Linked DNA regions of Nothobranchius furzeri. The protein of the gene in region 1 purifies or fractionates together with the protein of each later gene. This does not show direct contact. Links are inferred from orthologs where the notes say so. Each region holds a gene or a part of one and is shown in the gene's direction. Other genes may lie near its edges. The genes, in order: eftud2, usp39, ecd, dnajc17, sart1, aar2 and hnrnpub.

Region 1 (3,500 bases):
GGCGCTGCTGGGGTCTGTTAAAGACAGCATCGTTCAGGGCTTCCAGTGGGGCACCAGGGAGGGGCCTCTTTGTGACGAACGTAAGAACCACGCTGAGTTTAGCTGTTGGATGTCAGAATGCTTGTTGATATGGACATACGTAGCTTAATAAATATAAAATGACAGAGTCTTGTGTTTTTTCCTCGCTCTTCAGCCATTAGAAATGTGAAGTTTAAGATCTTGGATGCTGTGATCGCTCAGGAGCCTCTCCACAGAGGAGGAGGTCAGGTTATCCCTACGGCCAGGAGGGTTGTTTACTCTGCTTTCCTCATGGTGAGGCTTGGTTTGATCCATACCTTCTAAATGCTTGCTAGCTTTGATTGAATCATAAATGTGTTCATTAGAACATCGTAATGCTTCTCCGGGTTTTAGTGCTTTAGAGTCTGCTTTGTTCTCCCAGGCCACGCCGAGGCTGATGGAGCCGTATTATTTCGTAGAGGTCCAGGCTCCGGCTGATTGTGTGTCAGCGGTCTACACGGTGCTGGCTCGGAGGAGGTTTGTCTCACGAGGCAAAAACAACAATTCTGACAATTATTTGTTAAAGTTTTAAAAAACTTCTCGTGTGTTTTCCGTCTGTCAGAGGTCACGTCACCCAGGATGCACCTATTCCCGGCTCTCCACTCTACACAATCAAAGCTTTTATCCCAGCCATCGACTCTTTTGGCTTTGAGACTGACCTTCGTACGCACACTCAGGGTCAGGCCTTTGCTCTGTCTGTCTTCCACCACTGGCAGGTGAGATTAAACACGCAACCTGCTTTCTGCGTGTTATCGCTCTGAATTTGATTTCATCAGATTTAGCTGCGATTAAAATTCAAATAGCAGCAGAAATGTGTGGCCTACCAATAAAGTGTGCACCTGAGTGTGACAGTCACTTTGCACCATGAAAAAAATCAATCAATAAATACTTTATTAATCCCAGAGGGAAATTAGAGCGGTAAACAATGTTTTGATCTCTCTGCTGTTGAACTCGTGCGTTTGTGGCAGCTCGTGCTGCGTCGTGGTCGACCTCATGCATGTCTGCCACTCTGGGCAAACTGCTTCTGATCCAAAGGACGGTGGAGTGTTGAGTCATTACTTTTAAAGCGTTATGAGGCTGTTTGTGTCTGCCTGACGTGTGTTTGTGTCTGCACTCTGTTGAGCTGTGTCAGTGAAAATGAACTCCACTTAGGCTAGATTAATATTTCAGCTTAGTGTCTTTAAGCCACGAGCTACGGAAAATATTCCCACGGCACAAATTTAAAGTGATATCGTCTTAACCGTTTTATCCCCTTGAGGTGAAAATAAATGCATCTAACTAGACATTTTAATTATTCACTATATGAATGCTAATCATATGGAGTCGACCAAAATTAATACAACTCTTGACACCTTTGGTTGGTTTGTGTTCAGATACTTTCTACCTGGACTGCACGATATTGGGAAAACCTGCGATATTCGATAATGGTGATTGATATTGCAATGACGATATTACTTGCTATAAATAAAAACTTAACTCGGGAACAAAAATAAAGCAAAGAAATAAAATAAATCATAAAAATGAGAAATGCAAAAGATGTGAGGAAAGGGAAAAGAAAATGATCAAGAAAAGCAGAATCAGCAGAACAAAGCTAACTCAGGTGTTTGCTAACCATTAAAATTAAGTTCCGTCCACCTCGGGGGCGGGAATCTAACCTATGAGAACCCACCCGATTGGCTAAATGGGTGAAGAGCTCTATTTGATTTGTTAAACATCATTCTTCCGTTTGACTGACAGAAGCTTGATGTGAAGCAAACATTTGAGCTGACCATTCATTGCGATATTTTGGTTCTTTGCGATACGCATATTGCTCATGCTGATATCGCGATAACGATATATTTACGATATATTGTGCAGTCCTACTTTCTACAGAATCTTTTTCAAGCTTTTACCAATTCAATACATTTTTAATACATCAGCTTTTCACTACTGGAATATTCCCAGACATAGTTTTATGTAAGCAGCGATATTTAGTTTTTGTTGCTGTGGGGGCCGATTGTTAAGTAATATTGTCAGAATTGCTGGATTTGATCACGTTTAGATTTGGATAATATTAAAATTAAACCAGATAGAAAAATATAAAGATGCTAATCTAAACAAGCAAAGTTAAACGTAAATATTTAAACTGAAAACTAAATGTGTGGAGCTGAATATAAATGTTAAAATATAAAATGTGGTTATCGTATTTGGGTAACGTGCAAATTTAGACTCGCGTGGATGGAAAGTGGCCGACCAAAGAAAAAAAATTCTCTATATTATGGATCATTGTTCCCGTCATGGTTCTGCCGGCGCTTTGGTAAATGAGCCACGGTTGAACTGACGGACAACGTTTTACTGTCGAGGAAGCTTTAGAGACCTTAGACGGGGGTCTCTTCACCCCGCCTTTCGATTGGCCACTTCTATTTTACATCAGTCTGAGTTAGCACGTTAGCTCAATATTTCATAGTTTTTAAGAAAGCTAACTTACCGGAATATCTAAACTTTAACATTAGTGTGGCAAGGTGGACAAACGAGGGCCCAGGCGGGATTTGATCCCCCAGACTCCCGGGTGAGAGTCATACGCTCTAACCAGTCAGCCAAAGGGACATCCCCTTGGCCAAGTAGCCAGGGCGCATGATCTATCGGGACATTGTGACAGGACACTCACACTGTCACATCAGCATTGTAACTTTAAAAATCGACATTTCTACTTGATGTCTGTTTATTTTAGGAGTTCTGTTTGGAGTTGTGTTTAAACGTTTTCAAATAACTTTGTAATTTCCTAAATGAATGCGACGCAAACGTGAGTTCAGGATTCCCACCCCATTTTAATAAGATTTATTTAGTATTTCTTTGCGATTACTTTTACACTTAGTGCCTCATCAATCACCGTTATCATCCGTAACTGTAATTACTGTCCCAACACGACGGATTCAGCTGCTCAGGGTATCCAGAATAGCTCAGAGGTTGGTGTAGTGCACCATTTGGCCACATTTCCTTAATAGTTAGATTTAAATACTCAATGTTATTATGTAATTAGTAGCTCTCACGCTTTGGTTGATTTGGCTGGACCTACTTCACGTACACGCCCACCACCCTGCTAGCAGGTCTCATCTTTCATCTGCGGCTAAATGCAGAACGGGACGATTAATATATGACGCGTTTTGTGAAGGTCATCCTGCAAACTGCCTGGGGTAATGGCTTTAGTGGATCGTTTTAAAGCTCAACCTGCCGACGTTGCATTGTTGCTGTGTTGGTCACATTTGATGGTGTGACGGTGCTTTCACATTTGCACATCTCTCCATCACGCTGATGAACGTTCTGCTGACTCCGTACCAACAGGACAGGCGTTCAGCTGAATCTCATAAAATGAAAATATCCACTCGGCTGGTTGAAAAGTTTCATGTGTTATATGAGAACAAATGTGGTTTCTGTTTGCATCACCTATCTGATCCCCCTTTAAG
Region 2 (2,794 bases), on another chromosome or scaffold:
CCTTCCTGTTTCTGACCCTTGACCTCCCAACAGCTCCTCTGTACAAGGATGAGAAGGAACAACTTATCATCCCACAGGTCCCTCTATTTAACATCCTGGGCAAGTTCAGTGGCACCACAGAAAAGGTACTAACCCCTTTACTGACTGATGCTGAATTAATAACATAAAGGAAGACCAGCCTGTAAATTCTTCAACTCAAGTATTGAAGTGCATTAATGTTATTCAACAGGAAATAAAATGGAACTAATGCACATGTGCATGTGATGCTGTTTGCAGGAATACAAAACCTACAAAGAGAATTTCCTCAAAAGATTCCAGTTGACCAAACTGCCACCGTACCTCATCTTTTGCATCAAAAGATTCACCAAGAACAATTTCTTTGTGGAAAAAAATCCAACAATTGTCAATTTCCCGATCACGTAAGTTGTTTTTGTTTACTCAGACTAGGGCAGTAAATCGAACACTTATCGTTATCGAAATTTCTAACTCTAACCGATATCATTGTTTCCATGTCAGTAAATTTGGTAATAAAGATGGAAAGATGTGTGTAGGTTGGAGACAATCAAGTCCTTTTAAGAAGCTGAACCACCTTGAATCACATGACAACATGACTCAAAGTAATACACGTAACAGCCCCATCTAGTGGACAACTTCTGGTTTTGTGCATACATGTAGTTATGGTCCATTTATAGTTATCAAGGCTAACTTCTCAATGTGCCGTGATATGGATTTTAGGCCACATCGCCCATCCCTAACTCAGACTTTTGCTTAAACACATTTATAAAGTTCAGCTTACATCTGCTGTTTATTATTTTAGGCTAAACTACACGTTTAAATGTATTTTGAACTTTGCTGTTTGCTTCAACAGGAACGTGGACCTTTCTGAGTATCTGACAGAAGAAGCTCAAGCTACAGAGAAGAATACGACTTATGACCTTGTTGCAAATGTGGTGCATGATGGGAAACCCACAGAGGGATCATACAGGATACATGTCCTGCATCATGTAAGCTACAGCTGACCAGTTTTTCATGTGCACTGGGATCAACGTAGCATCTGTGTCCTGTTCTCTGAGTCACAGTAGATTTCAGAATGATAAATGACCCGCACTTGTATAGCGCCTCTCAGATTAAGGACTCCAAAGCTCTTTACAGTGTATCATTCATCCATTCACACACACATTCACACACTGATGGTGATGAGCTACGATTTAGCCACAGCTGCCCTGGGGCGCACTGACCGAGGCGAGGCTGCCACAGGGCCACAAAGTAATGAAAGAATGTGGCCTGAGTTTCTGATGAGTTTTCTGTCTGTAACAAAAGCTTTCAGTTGTGTTTTAGTGATCTACGGCAGAATAACTGAATGCTTTGTTTGACCAGGGGACAGGGAAGTGGTACGAGATGCAGGACCTGCAGGTCATCGACATTCTTCCCCAGATGATCACGCTGTCAGAGGCTTACATCCAAGTAAGTCTACCCTATAAGTCTTAGTATTTACCTGCGAGTTCGAAGAATTTACTTTTTTCCTTTAATGAAAACATTTGACTACAATCTGAAGAATCTGCTGTTTGTTTACTTCCTGAATTTAATTAGTTAAAGGCTTAACAAAGTATTGGGATTTTCAAAACAAAAGCCTCATTGTTGGCTCTAAATTCTAAATGTATGGCATCAGACAGTTGTTTTAACTAACTATAGTTTTGTTTTTTACAAAGGAAAACAACACAAATCTTCTCTTTCTCAGCTTTGCTTAAAGGTTTTGTCAAATTCTGAGAAAAGAGCATAATGGAAATAATTGACAATGACATTGTAGACTGAGTGCAATCATCACAAACTTTACACAGAATATAATTAAAATAAAATAAAGCTTCAAACCACATAACTGACTATCCAACCTGTTACTGAGGAAAAATAATCTAGTTATTGATTAAAACCATCTACTCAGTTGCTTCTAGTGTGTACGTACTTCCTAAAAAGCTGTTATTTGGTATTATAATTTAAAAAGGATTTTCTTAGTGTTTTTTTTAATTGTTGCCCTTTTCTTGCCAGATTTGGAAGAGACAGGAGAGCAGTGACACAAACAGCCACACGGCGGAGTAAGTGCTGCAATGTATTTCCCATCCTGGGTGGCGTTTCGTTTCATCACAACTCTGGAAATCAACTCAAATCTTTAAATGATCTGAAGTGCAACAGAACTTTGTTTAAAGCGACACAAAGCCTTGAAATGCAGAAGTTCTTTTTTTGTGGTTTTATCTTTTCACCTTGTGGAGTTTTCTAAATAAACCACCTTGAGGACAAAAGTCTTTGTAAATGAAAGCTTAACAACACAACCTTTAAATTAGGTTTTATTTGTATTTGATCTTCTTCACCAGCTGCCGGAAGAGCAGCAGCACAATCAGAGAGGAAGCATCACTAAAGCCGGGCATACACTGTGCGACTTTTTCACTTTTTTGAGCCAATTTTCCACTCGTGTGAGAATCCACAAGATCGGGGCGAGTTTTGCGCCGAGCATCGTGTAGTGTACGGGGGGTTACGAGAGGCGATTAACACCATGTGACCAGCTACCGATCAGCAATCGTGAGCTCGCACGGACTTCTGGCGTGTTTAATATTTTGCTCGTCCCTCGTGAGGGTATCGCACTGTTGAAGCGGCGCTGCGAGCAGCTGCGACACAAAATGGATCAGAACCGCTCACGGCGCATGTGCAATCCTGCATCAATGCCGCTCGCCCGCTATTTCCCTAATAACACACGTACGTTTTTGTTTCTACACGTTTTTTTTACTCACAAATATTGTCAAGA
Region 3 (3,982 bases), on another chromosome or scaffold:
TTTCTCACAGTTTTATAAAAAGGAGCCAATGATCCATTGAATTCCTTTGCATCAGTCATGGATCTAAGGTCAAGGTAGTGAACAGAATTAAGTTTCTAGGAATCAATACTACACACGCAGCCACGGTCCTTAAGCATTATAAATAAATAAAAAACAGCCCGGAAATGACTGTGCAGACATCTAACAGTGGTAATACAATGGGCAATCAAACCCAGCTAAAACACAATTAAATGTTACAATGGGTCATTATTATGGTAAATACTAATCTTCTGTAAGCCCAAGAAATTTTTCTGAAGAAAAACAACTGACATAGTAAACTATATAGATTGAATATTGTGTGACTCAAGCAGCTAAAAGTCAGATCAGCTCAGTAGTAACTCGCTGGAACACCACACACACACAAACAACATATGTAGATTTAAGCCGCAGGGGGCTGAAGCAACATTTGGTACTCACATCTCAAGTTTGTGCGATACAGGTTTTCTGTTGTATCGTGAAATCATTCTCCTTTCTCTCCGTTTTATGGGCTCAAGCCCTCGACTCCCATCCTTGCCTCTGCTTCTTGGACTCTATGTGAGAAGCAGACGAGCCTCACCATCCTCGATCGGTAGTCCGCAAGACAAAAGACACGCTCTTTTTATCTGTTGAGGGGAGGAGGCTACGCTAAAAAGAGCTGAGAGGCGTTGATGCGACCGTGACATGCAAACAGGGCACAGGTGGTGTTATAAAACTTCCGCAAATATGTTAACCATTAAGTTAGACTGTCTACACTAGGTACTAATCACGTTTGTCCGGAAGTTATGTAGCGATCAGGCTAATAGCTTAGCATTAATGTGTGTATACATGCTAGCATTAGCACCGACGAAAACAACAGCGCGGCTGTCATGGATACGCAGCCTCTTAACCGCGCGGGTTCGCGGGAAATGTATTTCTGAAGAACGTGTAACGCGTTCTTCACAAATCTGTTTTCCTACATTTCCCAGACATCTCTCCGGCGATGTGGTTACGTCTCTGAAATGTTTCCGTTCGTAATAATAAGAAATCATTCAGCGTATGATTTATCAGTTAATTTACTAAGTTAAAATTATTTATCAATAATAATTAAGTAATTAATATACGGTACAAAGGTTAATTTTTAAGTGAGATATTTTATAACGTACATACATTTGAAACCGGAACTTCATCGAAAGAAATGTGAGTGTCGACTACAAATTGTGGACGGACCTAAACAGTCACTGATGGCGTGCTAGCAACGTCAGAAAATACCAAATTTCTTCAGTTCTGGTTTGCAGAGATTTAAAATTAAAAGGACCTTTTACATGCACGACAAGGTACATTTAACTGACATATTTACGTCTTGGTGAGACTAGCTCTCCCCAGACATCTCCTTTATTCAGTAAATTAATCATTTTTTCTTTTCTTTTATCAGCTACAATGGATGCTCTGCAGAAAAGGATGATTCAAGAAGATACGGTTCAGTACAAACTATTCTTGGTCCAGTCAAATGGTTTATCTTCTCAGCAGACTGAAGAACGCCTAAAATGCTTGACAGAGGAGATTTTGGCTAAATTAGCTCCACTTTTGGTACAGTATATCTGGCAACATCAGCCATTCAGCCTCAGATTTCATTCAGAGAAAGGTAAGATTTAATCAGCTGCACTTAGATGATGACCTATCAGGGTGTGCTAAAACAAAGTGTATGGTAATCTATCTGACGGGTCAACTGGCTCATCAAAGTGTCATACATCTTTTAAAATGTATGATCTGATAGCGTATGCATGTCTGAAAAGCCTTGTGTTGTCAGATAGGCATACACTGTAATACGCACTTGCCAATCTGTCAATGTATGGTGATTAGACAGAACACCTGTTTATAACGCAATGTAACCATCAAATCTCACGTGTCCTGATAGGAAATATTCCTGCTCACATTGGAGGCAGCAGTCAGTTTGGAGACAACGTTGAGGACGAGTGGTTTATTGTTTACCTCTTGAAGCAGATCACAGAAGTTTTTCCAGAGCTTGCAGCCAGGTGAGACACTATAGGGTCTCAGTGTTACTGTTGCAACAGAAATGTGTTCTTGCTGCATACAACTCTATGCTGTTTGTGTGTGCAGGGTTGAGGACAACGATGGGGAGTTTATTCTGATCGAAGCTGCTGATTACCTTCCAAAGTGGTTGAACCCAGACACGAGTGAAAACAGGGTTAGCCCTTCTGATGAAATGGGACATAATATTGTGTGATTCGTTATAGCTGGATATTGGTTGAGAATTCATGTGAAAGACACTTTAAAATGCAAATTTTCCATTTGACTTTGGCTGCATTTCTTTACAGGTTTTTCTTTACAAGGGAGAGCTGCACATCCTTCCTTGCCCCTCCAAACTAAGTCCAGTGGGCTTCCCAGTTGATGTTGTTCCCAGTGTGGCAGAAGCCATAGAACTACTCTCCACTCATCCAGACTCCTGTCAGGCCAGCCCTAAGATATGCTCAGCTCTGAACAAGAGAATAAAAGGGTGAGAGGGTTTGAAAGAACACCACTGCTCTTTGGTATCTAATAGCTATTAGCCTCGTAAATGTTGTTGACACAATCTCTGCATTCCTTCTGTGCAGGAAACACATTATACCATAGCAACACGGGGAACATCAGCATGGCTCATACAAGCCCTGTAAAGTTTTAGAAAAAACATTATCTCTGTTTTTCATCTAGGTATCCAGAGAAGATCCAGAGTAACCTCCACCGGGCTCACTGCTTCATACCTGCAGGGGTAGCCACTGTTCTGGCGCAGCGTCCAGACCTGGTTGCTCCTGCGGTTTCAGCGTTTTATCTGCGGGATCCGGTGGATCTACAGGCCTGTCGAAGCTTCAAGACTTTTCCTCCTGATACGAGAATCCTCACTTTGGTGAGTGCACAAAAACACTCGTGAGTGCATAACTTTTTTGTGAAATGTTGCCTTTAATTGAAACCTGGAACTTGATATTTATTCTTTAGGTGACGTTCACCCGCTGCCTTTATGCACAGCTGCAGCAGCAAGATTTTATCCCAGATCGGAGGAGCGGATTTAGCCTGCCTCCTCGCTCTCATCCTCAGTACAAGGCTTATGAGTTGGGCATGAAACTGGTGAAGCATATTTTGTTTGTTTGTTCTTTTGCTGTTTTTGCAACAAAATATATGGATAACTTGTGTTTGGAGTCTTGTAGGATGTTTTTTAACTGTGCATCCTTCTCTCAGGCCCATGGCTTTGAGATCCTGTGCTCTAAATGCAGACTGCCGTCCTCGGAGCCAAACGCGCCAGTAAGCTGCAACCCCCAGTGGAAAGGCTTCTTGGAGAGCCTGAAAAAGAACGACTACTTCCAGGTGTGGTGCACTATTTTGTATTTAAATTAAAAGCAGACACTTGGAAGAGCAGCATGCTCAGCGATTCGCTACCATACAGTGATTCAGTGCCATTGCTGTCTAACGCAGGGAGAGCTGGAGGGTTCGGTACGTTTTAAAGAACGCTTAAGATCAGCAGAAATTTTCTTCAAGTACTCCGTTGTCTCAAAGTCAAGGTGAGAAGCTATCTTGTGTATGAAAATGTGTTAATCAAATGAAGTATGTTTTGCACAGGCATACTCTAGGCTGGCCACTCAAATGTGCAGTTTGATCTCAGCACACATGTGGCCCACCTGAGTTTTTAGCTCAGGTAGGTGGTGCCTGATAAAGTAACGTTCAAAACTGGGCTCTTTGTTTCCTAACAGAATGTTGCATCATGCAGTAGAGACCATAGCTACCTTTCATATGCCAGCGCAGCGGTGTGAACGTGCTTGATGTGTGTTTTCAGTCCTCTGTCCCCTGGGGAGGAAGTTGTTGAGGTGCTTCACAGCAGTCCTCCGTTCGACTTGGAGGAATTGAAAAAACAGCAGTCACAGCTTCCCCAAGAGGACAGTGAGTAGAAACGATAAACGATGGAAAGTCATTCTTAAGACGAGCAGATTTTTTTGCT
Region 4 (4,292 bases), on another chromosome or scaffold:
CAAAAACACTTGAGCATGCCACAGCTCCAGGCTTTTCCAGAGAAAATAATGCTCACTCATGAGAACGCCATATTTAAACAGACCACTGAGTAAATATTATGAACTCATTATAAACACTAACTGAGCTTGAAGAACAGGATCATGAAACACAGCAGCTATAATCACGTAATCATCAAAGTCAACATCTTTGTTTAGTGCCCTTTTAATGCTGTGAAAGTGCACGGCCAAAATATTTATGGACATAAACTGGCCCTCAACCTCTGGATGCATCTGCAAAACCTTCTTTGGGTAAGTTAGAGGATTCACTAAACTTCCCTTTATTGTGCTTATTGGAGAAATCCTGGAAAAACCAGAAGACCAAGAATAAAAAACAAAACTTTAGAAAATAAAAGCTTTTTCCAGACAAAACACCAACTTTTTGAGATGCAGATCAGCAAAAACTAGAATATGGTGCAAAAAAGTTCATTTATTTCAGTAATCCAGTTTAGACCGAGAGACCATCTAAAGGCCCAGGAACCCTTTGCAGGTGTTCTGGATTCATTAGCTGATAAAAGTGTGACACCTAGAGCGTGAACCTTTTCACAACATTCTGTCTGAGATTTTGAATTTTGGGCTGTAATCCAAATTATAACAAATGAAGACTTAAAATATCTGGACTTGCATGTAACGAGTCTACCTCATGTATTAGTTTCACCTTTAAATGAAATTACTGAAATAATTGAATGAGGTTCAATTTTGTTGAATTTTGCCAGTAACTTGTAGTAAAACCAACATTTCATTTCTTTATTGCAAAACAGCAATTATCAATGTAAACCATCAAACATTCACAAACTTACAAAAATATTTACCAATGCCTTTATTACTTCTTTATTTTGAGAAAAAGTCTTTGCTGTTCAGATTTTTACCTTTTATGATCATCAAATCAAGAAGGATGTAAACATTTAAAATTGACACTTTTAAATGGATTGATCTATGTGTTGATAAAAAGGTTTTCTATGTTTTGGTAAATAAAACAGCTAATTACAAACACTGGTTGAGTGTGCTGCCAAAAGAACATTAATGATGAAATGCATCTTTGCTCTTTGCTTGTGCCGTCATTCTACTGCAGATTTACTGCTGGGATTATTGTTTTCTTGTGTGACACAATTAGGACCAAACCTCCTCTGTTTGACAGATGGTTTTACTCTGGAAGGCATTTGGTTGACTCTAAGGTATGCAGGCCCTGCTGCTTTAAACCAACCATAAACCACAGGGGTGGTTTACAGTTGATAAAAAGTGATGCATAATTTCCATCACTTACAAACAACCTGTTCAGTCTATTGAACTGTTGTAGCAAAGATGTAACGTCTTTATGAAATTTCCTCTTTTGAATAATCCTACTGACTATAGAATGATGAGCCCCAAATTATTAAAAAAAGTAATTATTTCATAAATGTCAGTCTGATAAACCACTAAATCTAACCTAAAACAATTTAGTTTTGCCTAATGAACACAAAACACCTGTGTATATATTTTTGAGAAAATAACATTAAAATTATAGCTGTATGGTTTTATTTAAAAGTTAGAGACTCAAACCAACAAACCGAGATAATCAATTATCAAAGCAACAAAAAGCCAGACACAGAGATACAGCGAACAACCACATTTCCCAGCAAGCATAGCACTTCCGGGTTGAAAGGTTGTAAACGTCAAACAAACTCGTGCTGCCCCAAATAAGCTGCAGCAAACACAAATAACCCTAACGCTGCCCGCTGTTAAACACTGTAAACAACCGTATCTATCCCCTCCTTTTATCTTTGATGTTAAAGTAGTTTGTGTTTAACAAAATGTCTGGGAAAGCTAAGGAAATCTTACAGATGGACCTCTATGGTTTACTCGGTATTGAAAATACTGCTACATCTAAAGAGGTACGTAAGTGAATGATAAATAAACAAATACCAGCTTTGCCTCTGGCTGTTAGCAGATCGTTAGACACTGTTGGAAAATGTTTATTCTATTTTTTATTCAGTGGGCGAGGAAAAAGGCTGTTTAATATAAAGGCTTTTTGTTTTTAGCAGAATGCTAGCAGTATGTTAGCATACTGCTTGTATTCCCATTTTCTTTCCGTCTGTGCTTATAATTTACCGTAAACATGGTGCGTGTTATCACTCAGAGCAAACGTGATGCATATAGGTCCAATACCTGATGGGTAAGAATCGATATGATAGAAACAAAGGACACAAAACAGACAAACTAGCTAAAGGCTAAAATTCGCATTGTTGTAGTACCACAGAATGGACACGAGATGGCGATGTTGCACCAGTGAGCTCCTTGTGTGCGACTCAAACGTCCCCATGACGTTTAAAAACAGTGAATGTTAAACAGCACAGATGTATATAAATCAACACGCTTAGTCTTATTTTGATTTATCTTATTTAAGCTTGGAGGAGCAGATGAGTATTTTCTAAAGATGACCCTCATCTGCAAAAATAGCAGAAGTCAAATTTCACTTCTGATTCTCAGGTCATTGCAAACCACCCTTCTTCATTCCCTCTCTTTTTTTTACTCCCAGCCTTAAGCGGTTAATCATGTTGTTCTGAATCCTGCCTTTTTCCTCCGACCACCTCTCTATCAAAAATCCACTGGCCTGAAGGGATATTAAAATCCCTGCCAAAACAAGGGAGGAAGTTAATTTCTTAATTAGATTTCAAAGTGTTCTCCTCCCAAGAGGGTTATCCCTGAGGAAGTCGGCGGTTGTGGCTTGGGCTGAGCTGAAGCACCAGAACTGAGAGGGCTGCTGCTGAAAGGTCTGCTGATGGCTGAGAGAGATAGTGGATTTGTCTCTTTGTGCCTTACATTAAATCAGCAGGGCTTAAGAAAAGAAATCAATCAAATCTGTGAGAAATATCATCAGATGGTCAAATTATCCCATTTGTTTGGTTCACATCTTCAAACATGCTGTTAATCACTGAGAAAAGGAGGAAACTCATCCCATGGCCAGTTAATGTGGGTTCAGTCACATCAACTTCTACGTAAATGCAGTGTTTTACAGCTTTGGTGTAGGGACTTTTGCTTCTGTGTATGTCCTCTGGAGCTTTTCTATTATCACTAATGCTGTTCTTGATAGGAATTCAGGCGTGTCAGAGATTTTGAGTTAACGACTGAAAGTGGATTGCCATCGGAGTTGTACCTACCACAGATTGCTCGGTGAAATGCTGTCTAAGACCACACAAGCTCTCACTTGGTTTATTCAGCTATTACTAGTGTGGCTGTTTTCAGTAAAAACACGCTGGTTTCTTCAGACAACGTTCACAAATACAGAGTTGTAGCTTAGTGCAAACACACAGTTCTCAATATCTGATGATCGTTTTTGGTTTGAGCCGCGATACTAAGATTGTTTCATCCACCAGTGAGGCCGTCTTTCAATTTGAAACAACTTTATCGACAGATCTACGTTAGATTCAAATATCAAAACTGACAGACAGGTCTATGTTAAAGGCCTTTTAATAACTAATAACCCTTTTTGCAGCATTTCACTATTTATATAATAACACATTTTCTATTCCTCCTTTCATTTGTTTTCATCTTTTCTCTTATATTTTTGTCATTCATCCCTCTCCTTGCTGCTGTCCTCGACTCCTGTCTTCATATTTTCTTTATTCTGCTGATAATGGTGGAGGATGTGCAGAGATCAGGCAACTTATCAGCCTCACTGGTGGGAAGCTCTGCTGTAACTGTATTAGATAGCTTTTAATGCCTTGTTTGTATGATGTTGTTTCCTGGCATGTTTACACTACTGTACATTGTGCATATTGTGCTGAATCTTGGTTGGAAAGAAATCGTGAACTGAGATGAAATAGAAATTTACACCAGAATTATTGCAATTCACAATCTTTTAGCCCTGCCTTGTTTAGCTGTAATTTAAAACAAAGTAATGCAATTAAGATAAAGTGTTTACGATGTTTAAGAGCGGTCTGAGATGGTTATCCCGTCATGGTTCATGGAGGTTCATGGAAGTCGTATAACTGTTGCTCTTGTGCAGCGGGAACAAAGCCTGAACTGTCATGGAGATTTATTTAAAATGCTTTAAAGGCAGCATCTTAACGGATCTTAGTAATTTTAGTTATCTGAATGTGTATTTAGATTTTCCCCTCCGTAAAATCAACTCAGTCAGCTGTTAAGATAACATCAAATCTTGTAATTCCAGCAAAAATGTGCAGTTGCTCCGCAGACTTGAAAAAAGGTGATCCCACGTTCTGTGAGGCTGGTTTAGGTTGAGAGAATAGATGTGGAAAGTTGGTTTCTGTTGCGGA
Region 5 (4,200 bases), on another chromosome or scaffold:
TACAAGCAAGCCGATTTGTCATTTATTACTTGGGCTCAATCCATCGTGGGGGGTTTCGTGCTAAAAGACATTTCAGCCATCCAGGTAACAATTTCTTCTATTCTTTCTTATCCTGGCATGATCTGACGATTCTTACTGAGGGAAACACGCAATTCACGTATCTATTATCCTAGGTGACATATTCAAAGGTTTTTTTAATACACAAAATAAAGAATAGTGGTAAACTCGTGTATAGATCTATTGAGAAACTCGCAACAAATGCAATTACAAATATTTTGAAAGATAATTAAAATATCTATTAAGAACTTGATGAAATAGCATTTGATTCAAACTTTATTTATTGAAATACAGCAAGGCAACAGCACTACCACTGTGCCAACATGCAGCCAAAGCATAACAGATTCAAGTAAAATTTAAAATGTAGTATGTATAAAAATGAGTGAAATTAACATGTGAACTGATATGATATCCATAATGTTACACCTACTCCTACCCTAGGATCCACCCATCCCTTCCTCTATTCCACTGCATCTCTTTGTGCACTTCCATCTATGTTGCACTCTGATTCATTTCTACACTATTTTCGCATACTCCTCTGTCGGAGCCTAGTGTTCTTTCCTCTAATCAGTTTATCGTTAGAATCAGATGCAAGTACTGTTACATCCTTGTTTATAGATCGTTTTGGACAAAAGCATCTGCCAAATACATTAGCACAATGCCCTTTTTGATATCTGGAGCTCAATACAGATAAATGCAAAAGCTGAAGTAGAAAAATGTAATTTGAAAAAATCCTTAATGCTGTTGTTGGTAGACAGAAACCATTGCTAGACATCTGACTTTTTCTCTTTGTCTGAGAAGAATTAATTTTGATGTATATCTGAAAGTGATAAACATCCCAGCCATTAAATGTTCAAATGACCGTTTGGAATCAAAAGCATTTTTAAATACTCTAAACCTGGGGGTTTCCAATTGAAATATCAATTACAGTATTAAAATGTGTTTTTACTGATCAGAATGCACTTCTAGATATTATTTCAGTTACGATAAGTAAGAAATACATTTTGATAATGGGAATTATTATAACTTTATCTAAAATTTTAAGTGAATGGAAATGTTTTGCTTCATTAAATGCTATCACGGCTTGCTAAATACAGCAGGTTGCAGGCTGCAACCTTTGCTAAGCTAACAAGCTAAAGTAAAGGAACTGCGCCAAAATAGAGGAGATAGTAAATCGCTGTGTTGCACTTCGTGTACTTTTTGTAAAGTATCAAACAATTTTCCTAAAACATTTAAAAGCGTTTGTTTGTCAGTTAATGTCCGGTTGTTAAAGCCCCAGCCAGCAGGGGGCGATATACAACCAGGGCGAGCAAAGTTTTTTCTACCACTTGACTTCCGGAAACGAATTCGTTGTCGTTGTATGTTCGTTTCGTCGAAGTAGCAAACTTAAAACGTGGTTGTTAGTATTTATGCTGGTGCGAGGTGCTACAAATAAACAAACCAACGAAACTCCACGTATTTTCCACCGATGCTGGATATCGAAAATATGATGCAGTTTTCCCCGAAATGAGTGAGTTTTGACGTGGCTAACCCTTTAGCTTTTGAAGCTAACTCGACCTAGTTGGGAGAAAAGTTCGCGACATTTACCACATCAATACAGCTGAAGAGACTGCGTACGCAGCTTGACTGTGACGGAACTACGACTCTGGAGTTGTAAACAGCGGACGAAATCATGGGTTCTTCAAAGAAACACAAGGAAAAGAGTCGCGATAAGGACGCAGAAGAGCGCCGTCGTGAACATAAGAAGCATCGGCACAAAGAACGAGAGAGAGACAGAGATGCCTCAGATCGGGATGGAACTCGAGAAAAACGAAAACGCTCCAGGTCCAGGGAAAGGAGCAGACGGGATAGTCGCAGCAAAGGGGAAAAAAGCAGTGGCGAGACTCGTATAAAGAGGGAGAAATTGGATCCTGGCTATGAGGAAGGCAGTGCAGAAATACAGCCTCAGAGTGCAAGTGGAGATGCTTCCCTCAGCGTCGAGGAAACGAACAAACTCCGAGCCAAGCTGGGTTTAAAGCCTCTGGAACTCAATGAGAACAAGAAAGAACTTGGAACCAAAGAGGAGCCACTGGTGGCTGAGACCATCAACCCTGTTCTCATCCAGCAGCAGAAAGAGATGAGGGAGAAGCTTGCAGCTATGAAAGAAAAACGTCTCCTCAATCAGAAACTGGGCAAAGTCAAAAACCTTGCAGATGATGATTGGCTCGATGACACAGCCGCTTGGATTGAAAGAAGCAGAAAGCTGGCACAAGAGAAAGAAATGGCAGAGAAAAGAGCCAAACTTCTGGAAGAGATGGATGAGGAGTTTGGTGTCAGCAATCTGGTTGAAGAGGAGTTTGCTCAAAGTAAATTGGATTCTTATTCTTCACGGGATCTCAAAGGCCTCAAAGTGCAGCACAAGGTTGATTCCTTCAAGGAGGGCCACACTGTCATTCTGACCCTGCAAGACAAAGGTGTCCTGGAAGAAGAGGAGGATGTGCTTGTGAACGTGGGACTGGTGGACAAGGAAAAAGCAGAAAAGAATGTGGAGTTGAAAAAGAAAAAGCCTGACTACAAGCCCTACGAAGAAGAGGAGAGTGTGGATGACATGGTCACCTTTAAGCCCCGCACTGTACTTTCAAAATACGATGAAGAAATTGAAGGTGAAAAGAAAAAGAGCTTTCGTTTGAGCACATGGGGATTTGCTGATGGGGAGCGAGAACGGGAGCTGCAGGCTATGAAAGAAACGCTGCAAAACCAGGCCCAGTCTTTGGAAATGCCTGCTCTTGCTATCGCTTCGGAGTATTACACGCCTCAGGAAATGGTTGGCTTTAAAAAGACAAAACGCCGTGTGAAGAAAATCAGGAAGAAGGAGAAGCAGACAATTGCAGATGAGCTCCTTGATGACACTCGCAGCTCTGACTTTGGCTCCCGAGCACGAGGTCGGGGCCGCAAACAGGACAACGAAGAGGAGAATACAGGCAAGGGCGAGCGTTGGCCACATGAAATCCCCCAAATGTCTGATGACATCAGGACGGCAGAAATGGAAATGAGTGATGAAGAAAACTTCACGCCTCCTGAGCCAGCTGTAATTGAGGAGGATGAGGCAGAGCAGGAGCTGCAGAAACAACTGGAGAAACAGAGGAAGCTGAGGCAGAAGCAGCTTCTCAAAGACTCCGGGGAGAAGGTGGCAGAGCAGATCAGACGGTTTGTTAAAGGCGGTGACGAAAATGATCCTGACAAGAGGAATAACATTGTCTTCAATGCCACCTCTGAGTTCTGCAGAACTCTGGGTGATATTCCAACGTATGGACTGTCTGGAAACAGGGAAGACCAGGAGGATATCATGGACTTTGAACAGGAAGAAGAGAAAGATGATGCTGGAGATTCAGACTCCGAAATGGATGAAAATATTGGGTGGAGCACAGTTAACCTGGATGAGGAGCAAAATCATGCTGAATTTTCCACAGCCTCTGCCACTATCCTGGATGAGGAACCCATCGTGAACTCTGGCCTTGCTGCTGCTTTACTGCTGTGCAAAAATAAAGGGCTGCTGGACACGCAAATGCAAAAGGTGGCTCGTGTCAAAGCAACAAAGGGGTCCCTGCCTAATGACAACTACTGCATCGAGGACAAGATGGGCTTTGATGATAAGTACAGTCGCCGGGAAGAATACAGAGGCTTCACGCAGGATTTCAAGGAAAAGGATGGATATAAACCCGACGTCAAAATTGAGTATGTGGATGAGTCTGGGCGCAGACTCACCCCAAAAGAGGCATTCAGGCAGCTTTCGCATCGTTTCCACGGCAAAGGTTCTGGAAAGATGAAAACTGAAAGGAGGATGAAAAAGCTGGAGGAGGAAGCGCTGCTGAAGAAGATGAGCAGCAGCGATACACCTCTGGGGACGGTGGCTTTGCTTCAAGAGAAACAGAAATCTCAGAAAACGCCGTACATCGTCCTCAGTGGCAGTGGGAAGAGCATGAATGCAAACACCATCACTAAATAAATATGTAGGGGAAAATGATTATTGTTGTAGCTCTTTTGAGATTATTGCTAGTTTATGGTCTTGCTTCAGTGTTGATATAACAATAGTATAAGAAAATCAGTACAGGTGTAAACTATTTCATTTGTCTTGTGAATTTCCTAAAAGAACAATAATTTAAA
Region 6 (4,072 bases), on another chromosome or scaffold:
TTCTTGCTCAACTGTTCGGAAAATACAAGGAAAGAAGAGGAAGAGGAAATTATTCATCAACATAATCAAATTACTGATTACTTGTTGGCAAAAACTTCAGAGCAGCTACAAATCTAAGTAGGGTCTGGTGTGACTGGTAACTTCTCACAAAAACACCAGTTTAAGTATATTCACAGCACCGTGATATGACCCTTTTTGCAAAGATAGCTGATAATAAACATGAATGTTAAGTTCTCATTAGTGTTCTTGCTCTTTCTGCATTTGTTAGCATTGCTCCTTGTTATGTTGTTATAGTTTCATTGTAACCACAAATAAGCTAAATGCAAATATTCAGCATTATGCACATTTCAAAGTCTCATGTGATGTGTTTGTGAGTCAAACGTAAATGTGTCTCTGTGTGTTATCCTGTGAATTCAATGTCAGATTTTCTTCATAAAAATATTAAGAAAACAACAAAAATAATTTATATTATTCTCTTCTTAATGTTAGTTAGTATTTAGAGAGTCCCACCTTTGATAATTCCAAAAGGCCATTGCAAATTATTTTTTTAATAATTCAAAGGAACTGGTGCTTTTAAAAGAGAAGAGGAGATGGGACATTAATGCCCTCTGGTGGCACAGAGATGAACTACAGTCTAGTTCAATTAAAAAAAACTTTTTTGCATTATCATTATCATCATCATCATCATCATTATTATTATTATTATTATTATTATTATTATGAAAAACATCCCATTTTTGTCTTATTGGGGATGATGGAGGACTAGAAAGAGCAATCACAAAAATTTAATTAGCGCAAACACTTCCTGTAAATTATTACAAAACATGACATGTCTGAGTTAACAAGAGAGGAACTCGCAGCCTCTAGCTGTCTTTTTTATTAAGCTAAAAACCCAATTGAAATATTTTCGACATTTCCAAATCAGTCTTGTTCACAATCACTCCTTCCAATGGGTATTGCATAGAACAGTCCAACATAAATATTGACAATAATAATAAGTAAAACATTTTATAATGAAATTTTGCCAGAATATAATCTTACTAATTTAAAGGGCAATGTAAAATAAATGTACTGCAATGGAAAATGTTAATCCTGAGTACATAAAATAAATAGTTTTTAAACAGTCTTATAAATTTATTTTAGCGAGTTTTGCTCATTGTTGGGCTTTTTACATAGCAAAAGCGATTACAGCATCAATTCTGCCACTGCGAAAAAAATCTGCTTTAAAATCTTTTTATTGCTTCATTTTCCCAAACCTAAATTTCTAAAAAGATATATTAAGAAAAACTTGGAGGCCAAGTTGTGCAAAAGAGCGGAACTGTTCTAATGAGACACTGTTTCCACCCTGAGCATTTATTTTGTTACACAGATTTCCGGCAAACGAAATAGCAGCGTTGTTGTTTGGAACGTCCACTAGTGTAACTGTAGGTACAGTTTGTTTTTATAAGTGGACGCGTAGACCGTAAAATGGGGTTTTTCGAAATGTAATTAGTTTTTTTTACTTTATTGATAATCTTCGCTGCTTAAATAAGATACTTTAAAACCCTAAAATTAGCATTCGCGTTCAAATACGGAAACACTTGAATGATGAACAGCTCACGTAGCACCTGAGAGAATTTACGCATGTTTCTCAGTAAATATAGTTTGTAGATTAGTAGTAAACAAAGATGGCCAGCAGCAGCTCTTCGAACATGGATCCAGATGTTGCTTGGTCGTTATTTGAAGAAGGAGCTACTTTGGTTCTGCTGGGTGTTCCTCAGGGCACCGAGCTTGGGATTGACTGCAAAAGCTGGCAGGTTGGTCCTCGGTTTCGTGGTGTTAAGATGATCCCCCCTGGTTTACACTTCCTCCATTACTGCTCTGTAAACTCGCCAAGCTGTGGTGGAGAAATCGGTCCTAAAACGGGTCTTTTCCTCACCCTGAAACCAAGAGAAATTCTCCTGGCCAACTGGGATCCCAAAGAAGAAGATCTGGATTTCTCAGCCTCCAGGAATGAAGAGGAAGTGAACAGGATCCGGGGGACTTTGCGGGAGCTGGATCCCTTCTTGGGCCCTTATCCCTATGAGGTCATGAGGAAGTGGGTGTCTCTCACCGATCACATCAGCGAGAAGCTGGCCAGTGACTTACAGCCTCTGACGGGTCGAATCTGCGCCTTCAGTGATGTCGTCCCCGAGCTTCAGTTCAGACACACAAAAGACAGGGCAGAGCAGCCGAGGAACGACACGGCCTGCCAGAGCATGAAAGAGGGACTGGACAGGCTTCCCAAAATGAAGCACAGAGAAGGGACTGAACTGCGCTTTTCAGTTATTCCCAAAAAGACCTACCCTCCTGGGGCTACTCCAGCTGAGATCACGAAATGCAGCATGGACTTGAGCTATGCCCTGGAGGGGGTTCTGGAGAAGAAATACGAGAACCAGCCTCTAAACTTGCTTGGTTTGTGTCACAAAGATTAATGCACTGTTACAAGAATGCAACTGCCTAATGCCTATGCAACTAAATATCTGAATCTCAAATCTCTTCCAGGTGAGCTGCAGTTTGCTTTTGTGTGTTTCTTGATTGGGAATGTGTACGAGGGCTTTGAGCACTGGAAGAGCCTCCTGGCTCTGCTGTGCCGCTCGGAGGAGGCCATGAGGAGGAGGAAGGAGCTCTATCTGGGACTCATCACTGTGCTCTACCACCAGCTCGGAGAAGTCCCTCCTGACTTCTTTGTTGACATTGTGTCACAGAACAACTTCCTCACCAGCACGCTGCAGGTACAGCAGATGTGCAACAGCTGCACGCACAATGTTAGGGAAATATTCAAAATGTTTCTGAATCAGAAAAGAGCTGTCACTAGAGGCACAAACATCATGTTTTTATTTCTTGTGACCCTAAATTGTTTATAAATGTAACAAACAACTTGTACATTTCAGACCGGATATCCATCATTTTCCAGCATTTCCAGCCTTCATTTAAAACTATAAAAGGTAGCAGGGGACATGAATCCTTTCAACGAGGTCTTTAAGTAATATTTTCATTTAAAATCTGTCTTCAATTTTTTTTTCTTCTTTCAAAATGATTTTTAAGCAGCTACAAGATGGAAAATCTACTAGAGCAAGAATTAGGGTCCCATATTTTGTTTCTATTTGATCTCAAACTGGTGTTCTTCATTGGGGATTATTAAATCGACTTTTTATCTTGCAGGATTTTTTCCAGTTTGCCACTGGACCTGGTGTGGATGGGATCCTACAAAAGAAGGCAGAGAAGTTCAAAACCCACCTAACCAAGAAGTTTCGTTGGGATTTCGATGCAGATTTGGACGACTGTGCACCTGTAGTGGTGGAGCTGCCTGAAGGCGTCACAGTGGACTAATTCTCCCATCGTGCAGTTTCTCCTCTTGGCCTCATACCGGTTCTACAGCAGCACACTGCCACGGTTGTTCTGTGTGGTTCCAACATGTCTTCTATTGTTTGTCTTTTCATAAGGAGAAGATAATATGTTCACGAATCATCTGTAGTGATGTAGTCAGAGAGAGGAGAGGTTTGATCTGAGGTCTGGTGGTTTTTATATTAAATAAAGTCAGTAACAATTTATTTTGTTTTATTTGTATAGTTGTTTCAAAAGAACATTTACATTCTACCACATTATTGGAAAGTTTTGAACAGTAGTTCATGAATCTATGAACAAATCTAAACATGCAAGACATCATATGCGTAACATTTGTTTCAAAATAAAGCACTATTGTCCAACAGGAAAGTGGGAACATATTTATATAAAGCAACCATGTGGTCAGGTTGCCCCTGAACGTCTCCCTAGTGAGGGGCTTTCCAGACACATCCAACCTGGAGAAGACCCAGGACACGCTGGAGGGACTGCGTCAGCTGGCCAGGCACTGCCTTAGGGTTCCCTTAGAGTAGCTGGCCCAAGTGGCTGGGGAGAAGGAAGTCTGGGCCTCGGCTTAGGCTGACCTGACCCGTGACCTGACTCTGGATAAGCGGCTGCAAATGGATGGATGAATGTCAGCCTCTTTTAATTATCATGAATGTTTAACATGTCCACTAGGGGGAACTGGAGGACTGGTTTTCACTATGAG
Region 7 (4,027 bases), on another chromosome or scaffold:
ATACATACATACATACATACATACATGCATACATACATACATGCGTACATACATACATACATGCATACATACATACATACATACATACATACATACATGCATGCATGCATGCATACATACATGCATACATACATACATACATACATACATACATACATACATACATACATACATACATACATACATACATACATACATACATACATACATGCGTACATACATACATACGTACATACATACATACAAACATACATGCGTACATACATACATACGTACATACATACATACATACATGCGTACATACATACATACATACAAACATACATACATACATACGTACATACATACATACAAACATACATACGTACGTGCGTACATACATACATACATACATACATACATACATACGTACATACATACATACAAACATACATGCGTACATACATACATACGTACATACATACATACATACATACATACATGCGTACATACATACATACATACATACATACATACATACATACATACGTACGTACGTACGTACATACATACATACATACATACATACATACATACATACATACATACATACATACATACATACATACGTGGTGCCTTGCAAAGGTATTCATACCCTCTGAACTTCTACATATTTTGACCACAAACTTCAATATTTTTATTGATATTTTCTTTGCTAGATCAACATAAAAAAGCACATAAGTGTGAAATGAAACATGGTTTTCAAAAATTTTAAGCAAATAAAAATATGAAAGTGTGTTGTGCATTTGTATTCAGCCCCCTGCATAAATACTTTGTGGACTCATCTTTTGCTGCAATTACAGCTGAATGGCTTTGGGGGGTGTCTCTTTGGGTTATGTCCCTACCAGCTTTCCACATCTAGAGCCTGAATGTTTTGCCCTTTGTTCAAGCAACAGGCGCAATAAAGGTAGAGGCAACAAAACACAGCTTGAAGCAGATGGTGTGATTAGATAGATTATTGATAATGAGTTGTTATTAGTCTACCTGGTCATCTGTAAATGATGTAAGGGGTTTGACAGTCTTGTTTTAGGTGCCCCGTTTAAACTTGGGGCACCCGTCTCTCATCTCTGCACTGCCCTGTTCTTGTTCCAGTTTTAATACCGTGGTGGCTCTGGCTCGACTGTGCTGCTTTTAGGATCATTACGGTAGTGGTTAGCGCTCTGCTCCCCCTCCCGCCGCCGAGGCTGGCTCATCAGCTCCCTCTCCGTTGGTGAAAGGTTGGATCGCGCGTAACGTTTGGCGTCGTTTCGAGCAACATCTACTAACAAAGTGCACGTTATTGTTTATTTGTCGACGTATTTTAGTAGTTTGTCGTTAAACGTCCACAATGAGCACGATTAACGTGAAGAAGCTTAAAGTAAACGAGCTAAAAGACGAGCTCAAGAAACGAAACCTATCAGACAAGGGGCTGAAGGCCGATCTGATGGACCGCTTGCAGGCCGCGCTGGACGAGGAGGCCCTCGCTGGAGACTCGGCCGCTCAGGATGTGGCGACGGACGAGCAGGCCGCGGACATCCAGGAGGGTATGGGGGAGGAAGAAGAAGGCCCGGTAGAGGAGAGCATGGAGGCCAACGAGGGAGAAGAGCCGGCGAATGACGGCGACGGGAACGGTGTGTCGGTGGACGAGGAGATGGGTGAGGGGGAAGAGGAAGGTGACGAGGAGGACGAGATGGATCCCATGCTAAAGGAGGATGTAGACGACATGGAGAAAATTGACACAGAAGATGGTGAGCCCGGCGATCACGCTACTGAGGGTGAGAAGAAACAATACGCTATGAAAATGATTTGTTGGATGAACCGTGGCTGGGTGTCATTTTGTGGGGGGAGGTGGGAACTGTAGCGTAGATTTGAATGCTTTTCCGTAAGGGAGGGGTAGCCGGTTGTTACCGCTTATCATGGCGTCCATGTTGAGTCAGTCAGCGTGATTCAGGCTAGTTAGCATTAGCCAACGCCTTGGTTACAATAATTTAAATGTACGATTCTCTAACCCAGTTTACCAACGGATAGTAGGTTAATTGACACGGACTAACTAAGGAACATGCTTATAAATAATTCTTAAGAAATTAATTTGTTATTTTTCTCTTGTGTCGCTTGATAGTAGCACGCTAGTTAGCATCGTTTTTCCTTTGTATCGGTCTGCGCTAGCTAGCCGTGTTAGCCATTTCAGAGGTTCCCATCACGCTTTAGTCGGTTTTCCTCTCGCCAAGGCTTCATCTGGACTACGTTTGATCAGCTCTAGTTCAGAACTACAGCACGTAGACGAGGCGGGAGGGGGCTAAAGTAATTCTTTAATACATATAAAAACTAAAACGTGTTCTGTTTTCAGAACAGGATCAGTTCTTACGTGCTCCAGTCGCAAAAACACAAATTACTGAAGACAATTTTAGTTTTTAGATTTTTTTAATGAGTGGGTCCAAACGTGGTCTAAATCCCCCATGCGTTACATTTTCTACCTCTGATCAACTAGGAGTGGCACACATTACTGATGAAGTTTTCTACAAGGACCGCTTCTGATCTGGTCCAGAGATCAGCAAGGCACCAGAGTCTGTCACCTTGCTTCATATGACTGGTTCTGATGTGGTCCCGTTATCAATAACACTTTAGTCTTACTGAATGATTAACGGTTTCACAAACTCCATTTGGTAGCACTTTTAGCTTTTAGCAAGGTTCACATCCCAGCTCCAGCCTTTCTGCATGGAGTTAGCTTGTTCTCCGCGTGCATGTGTGGGTTTCCATGGTTTCCTTCCGCAGGTCAGTGCATGTCAGCTTCAAACTGTTAGTCCAGATGTCTGCGTGTTTTTGGGCTGGACCACTTTGAGTTGCCCATAAGAACTAAATTGTCCCAGTCTTGGACTGTATGTGATTGATTAAATTATTAAAGATTCTATCTAGTGTAGACGAGTGAAGTCCAGAATCGTGTTTAGCCGGATCAAAAGCCAACACTAGCATCAGGTCTGGTTATGAGGTGCAGATGTTTGAAGGAAGAGCCTCAGCAGGCTGATGTAAAAGACCTGAAGCTGTATTTGGGTGTTAGTTTGGGTTATGAGCTTGGGAACCTCTGAACTTGCTAACCCAGCGCTTTGCAGAAGAACGGAGTGGCCTACAACTTTCCTGATACGTCCATCGTGTGTTTTCGATTTGAAATACAAGCGTGATATTAAAGGGTATACATACATTTTTATTTACATATCATCCTTTTCTTTAGCGGGGGGTGTCATTGGGCTTTAGGTAGGTTTCCCTGCATGGTTAACTCCCCCTGATGCAGTAGACCCTCATCTAGGACTAGAGGACTTGTATCTGAAGGGTTCTTACCCTTTCACGACCCCTTTTCCAGCCCCATCAAGCTCTGCTGCTGCTGTTCATTTGGGCCAGTTCATGCTGTAATTACTACCTGGTCTTACCAGTTGTTACAAGTCATGTAATATGATTGTACTGTTTTAAATGTAACTATGAGGTGTTTCCTCTTGGTAATCATGCTAGACGCAATGTAAATAATGAACGGGCTTCGTGGGCCAGAACCCCACTGCCAGTCCGACCTCTCTCTCTCTCAAAAAGGAGCACCTCATTCTATATCTTTGTTCTATTTTCAAAGGAGATGCGGACAAAGACACGAATGCTGATCAGAAGAATAAGAAGGGTGTTAAGAGACGCCGGGAGGAACATGGAAGGGGCTACTTTGAATTTATTGAAGAGAACAAATACAGCTGGTAAGGATGGGACAGAGCCGAGGTGGCCTTCAGCATCCCTGAAGCGCCATCCAAGCTTTGTTGAACTGTATTGGCTTTAAGTGCCAATGCACATAACTAGCAAGAGGTAAAGCCTCGTTTGAAGTATTCTATCATATATTTATGATATAACCTTTCACACATGTGTTTGAGGGTCATCCCTGAATAGCTAAAGCCTTACCATTTACCTTTTTACACTCACATTGTGTCTTTAACGACTGCATTCTGTAGCAGAAGTGCATCTATCAATCTCATATCTGTTC

Evidence for each region.
Region 2: the proteins of eftud2 (region 1) and usp39 purify together in Homo sapiens (affinity purification with mass spectrometry; 4 studies listed by BioGRID and IntAct, with this or other methods). This does not show direct contact. The link is inferred for Nothobranchius furzeri from reciprocal best matches to the Homo sapiens genes EFTUD2 and USP39.
Region 3: the proteins of eftud2 (region 1) and ecd purify together in Homo sapiens (affinity purification with mass spectrometry; 5 studies listed by BioGRID and IntAct, with this or other methods). This does not show direct contact. The link is inferred for Nothobranchius furzeri from reciprocal best matches to the Homo sapiens genes EFTUD2 and ECD.
Region 4: the proteins of eftud2 (region 1) and dnajc17 purify together in Homo sapiens (affinity purification with mass spectrometry; 4 studies listed by BioGRID and IntAct, with this or other methods). This does not show direct contact. The link is inferred for Nothobranchius furzeri from reciprocal best matches to the Homo sapiens genes EFTUD2 and DNAJC17.
Region 5: the proteins of eftud2 (region 1) and sart1 purify together in Homo sapiens (affinity purification with mass spectrometry; 4 studies listed by BioGRID and IntAct, with this or other methods). This does not show direct contact. The link is inferred for Nothobranchius furzeri from reciprocal best matches to the Homo sapiens genes EFTUD2 and SART1.
Region 6: the proteins of eftud2 (region 1) and aar2 purify together in Homo sapiens (affinity purification with mass spectrometry; 5 studies listed by BioGRID and IntAct, counting the BioPlex papers as one, with this or other methods). This does not show direct contact. The link is inferred for Nothobranchius furzeri from reciprocal best matches to the Homo sapiens genes EFTUD2 and AAR2.
Region 7: the proteins of eftud2 (region 1) and hnrnpub fractionate together in Homo sapiens (co-fractionation; 3 studies listed by BioGRID, with this or other methods). This does not show direct contact. The link is inferred for Nothobranchius furzeri from reciprocal best matches to the Homo sapiens genes EFTUD2 and HNRNPU.

What each region holds. Positions count from the first base shown.
Region 1 is NC_091745.1:13,626,204-13,629,703, reverse strand, and holds part of eftud2 (116 kDa U5 small nuclear ribonucleoprotein component), read left to right. Parts: coding exon 1-80; intron 81-193; coding exon 194-312; intron 313-439; coding exon 440-534; intron 535-619; coding exon 620-773; intron 774-3,500. UniProt on the Homo sapiens protein: Required for pre-mRNA splicing as component of the spliceosome, including pre-catalytic, catalytic and post-catalytic spliceosomal complexes. Component of the U5 snRNP and the U4/U6-U5 tri-snRNP complex, a building block of the spliceosome.
Region 2 is NC_091757.1:46,431,441-46,434,234, reverse strand, and holds the end of usp39 (ubiquitin carboxyl-terminal hydrolase 39), read left to right. Parts: coding exon 1-125; intron 126-276; coding exon 277-419; intron 420-868; coding exon 869-1,004; intron 1,005-1,377; coding exon 1,378-1,464; intron 1,465-2,043; coding exon 2,044-2,094; 3' UTR 2,095-2,294; downstream 2,295-2,794.
Region 3 is NC_091752.1:30,506,690-30,510,671, forward strand, and holds the start of ecd (protein ecdysoneless homolog), read left to right. Parts: upstream 1-1,182; 5' UTR 1,183-1,331; intron 1,332-1,429; 5' UTR 1,430-1,434; coding exon 1,435-1,639; intron 1,640-1,912; coding exon 1,913-2,030; intron 2,031-2,115; coding exon 2,116-2,203; intron 2,204-2,333; coding exon 2,334-2,512; intron 2,513-2,706; coding exon 2,707-2,899; intron 2,900-2,988; coding exon 2,989-3,117; intron 3,118-3,228; coding exon 3,229-3,354; intron 3,355-3,462; coding exon 3,463-3,548; intron 3,549-3,820; coding exon 3,821-3,924; intron 3,925-3,982. Other genes in the region: protein FAM149B1, read right to left, coding at 457-503. UniProt on the Homo sapiens protein: Regulator of p53/TP53 stability and function. Inhibits MDM2-mediated degradation of p53/TP53 possibly by cooperating in part with TXNIP. May be involved transcriptional regulation. In vitro has intrinsic transactivation activity enhanced by EP300.
Region 4 is NC_091758.1:33,993,561-33,997,852, forward strand, and holds the start of dnajc17 (dnaJ homolog subfamily C member 17), read left to right. Parts: upstream 1-1,492; 5' UTR 1,493-1,826; coding exon 1,827-1,907; intron 1,908-4,292. UniProt on the Homo sapiens protein: May negatively affect PAX8-induced thyroglobulin/TG transcription.
Region 5 is NC_091744.1:19,554,503-19,558,702, forward strand, and holds the start of sart1 (U4/U6.U5 tri-snRNP-associated protein 1), read left to right. Parts: upstream 1-1,400; 5' UTR 1,401-1,729; coding exon 1,730-4,042; 3' UTR 4,043-4,200. UniProt on the Homo sapiens protein: Plays a role in mRNA splicing as a component of the U4/U6-U5 tri-snRNP, one of the building blocks of the spliceosome. May also bind to DNA.
Region 6 is NC_091755.1:59,903,686-59,907,757, forward strand, and holds aar2 (protein AAR2 homolog), read left to right. Parts: upstream 1-1,470; 5' UTR 1,471-1,667; coding exon 1,668-2,433; intron 2,434-2,523; coding exon 2,524-2,753; intron 2,754-3,183; coding exon 3,184-3,351; 3' UTR 3,352-3,572; downstream 3,573-4,072. UniProt on the Homo sapiens protein: Component of the U5 snRNP complex that is required for spliceosome assembly and for pre-mRNA splicing.
Region 7 is NC_091742.1:29,998,752-30,002,778, reverse strand, and holds the start of hnrnpub (heterogeneous nuclear ribonucleoprotein Ub), read left to right. Parts: upstream 1-1,227; 5' UTR 1,228-1,366; coding exon 1,367-1,793; intron 1,794-3,631; coding exon 3,632-3,746; intron 3,747-4,027. UniProt on the Homo sapiens protein: DNA- and RNA-binding protein involved in several cellular processes such as nuclear chromatin organization, telomere-length regulation, transcription, mRNA alternative splicing and stability, Xist-mediated transcriptional silencing and mitotic cell progression.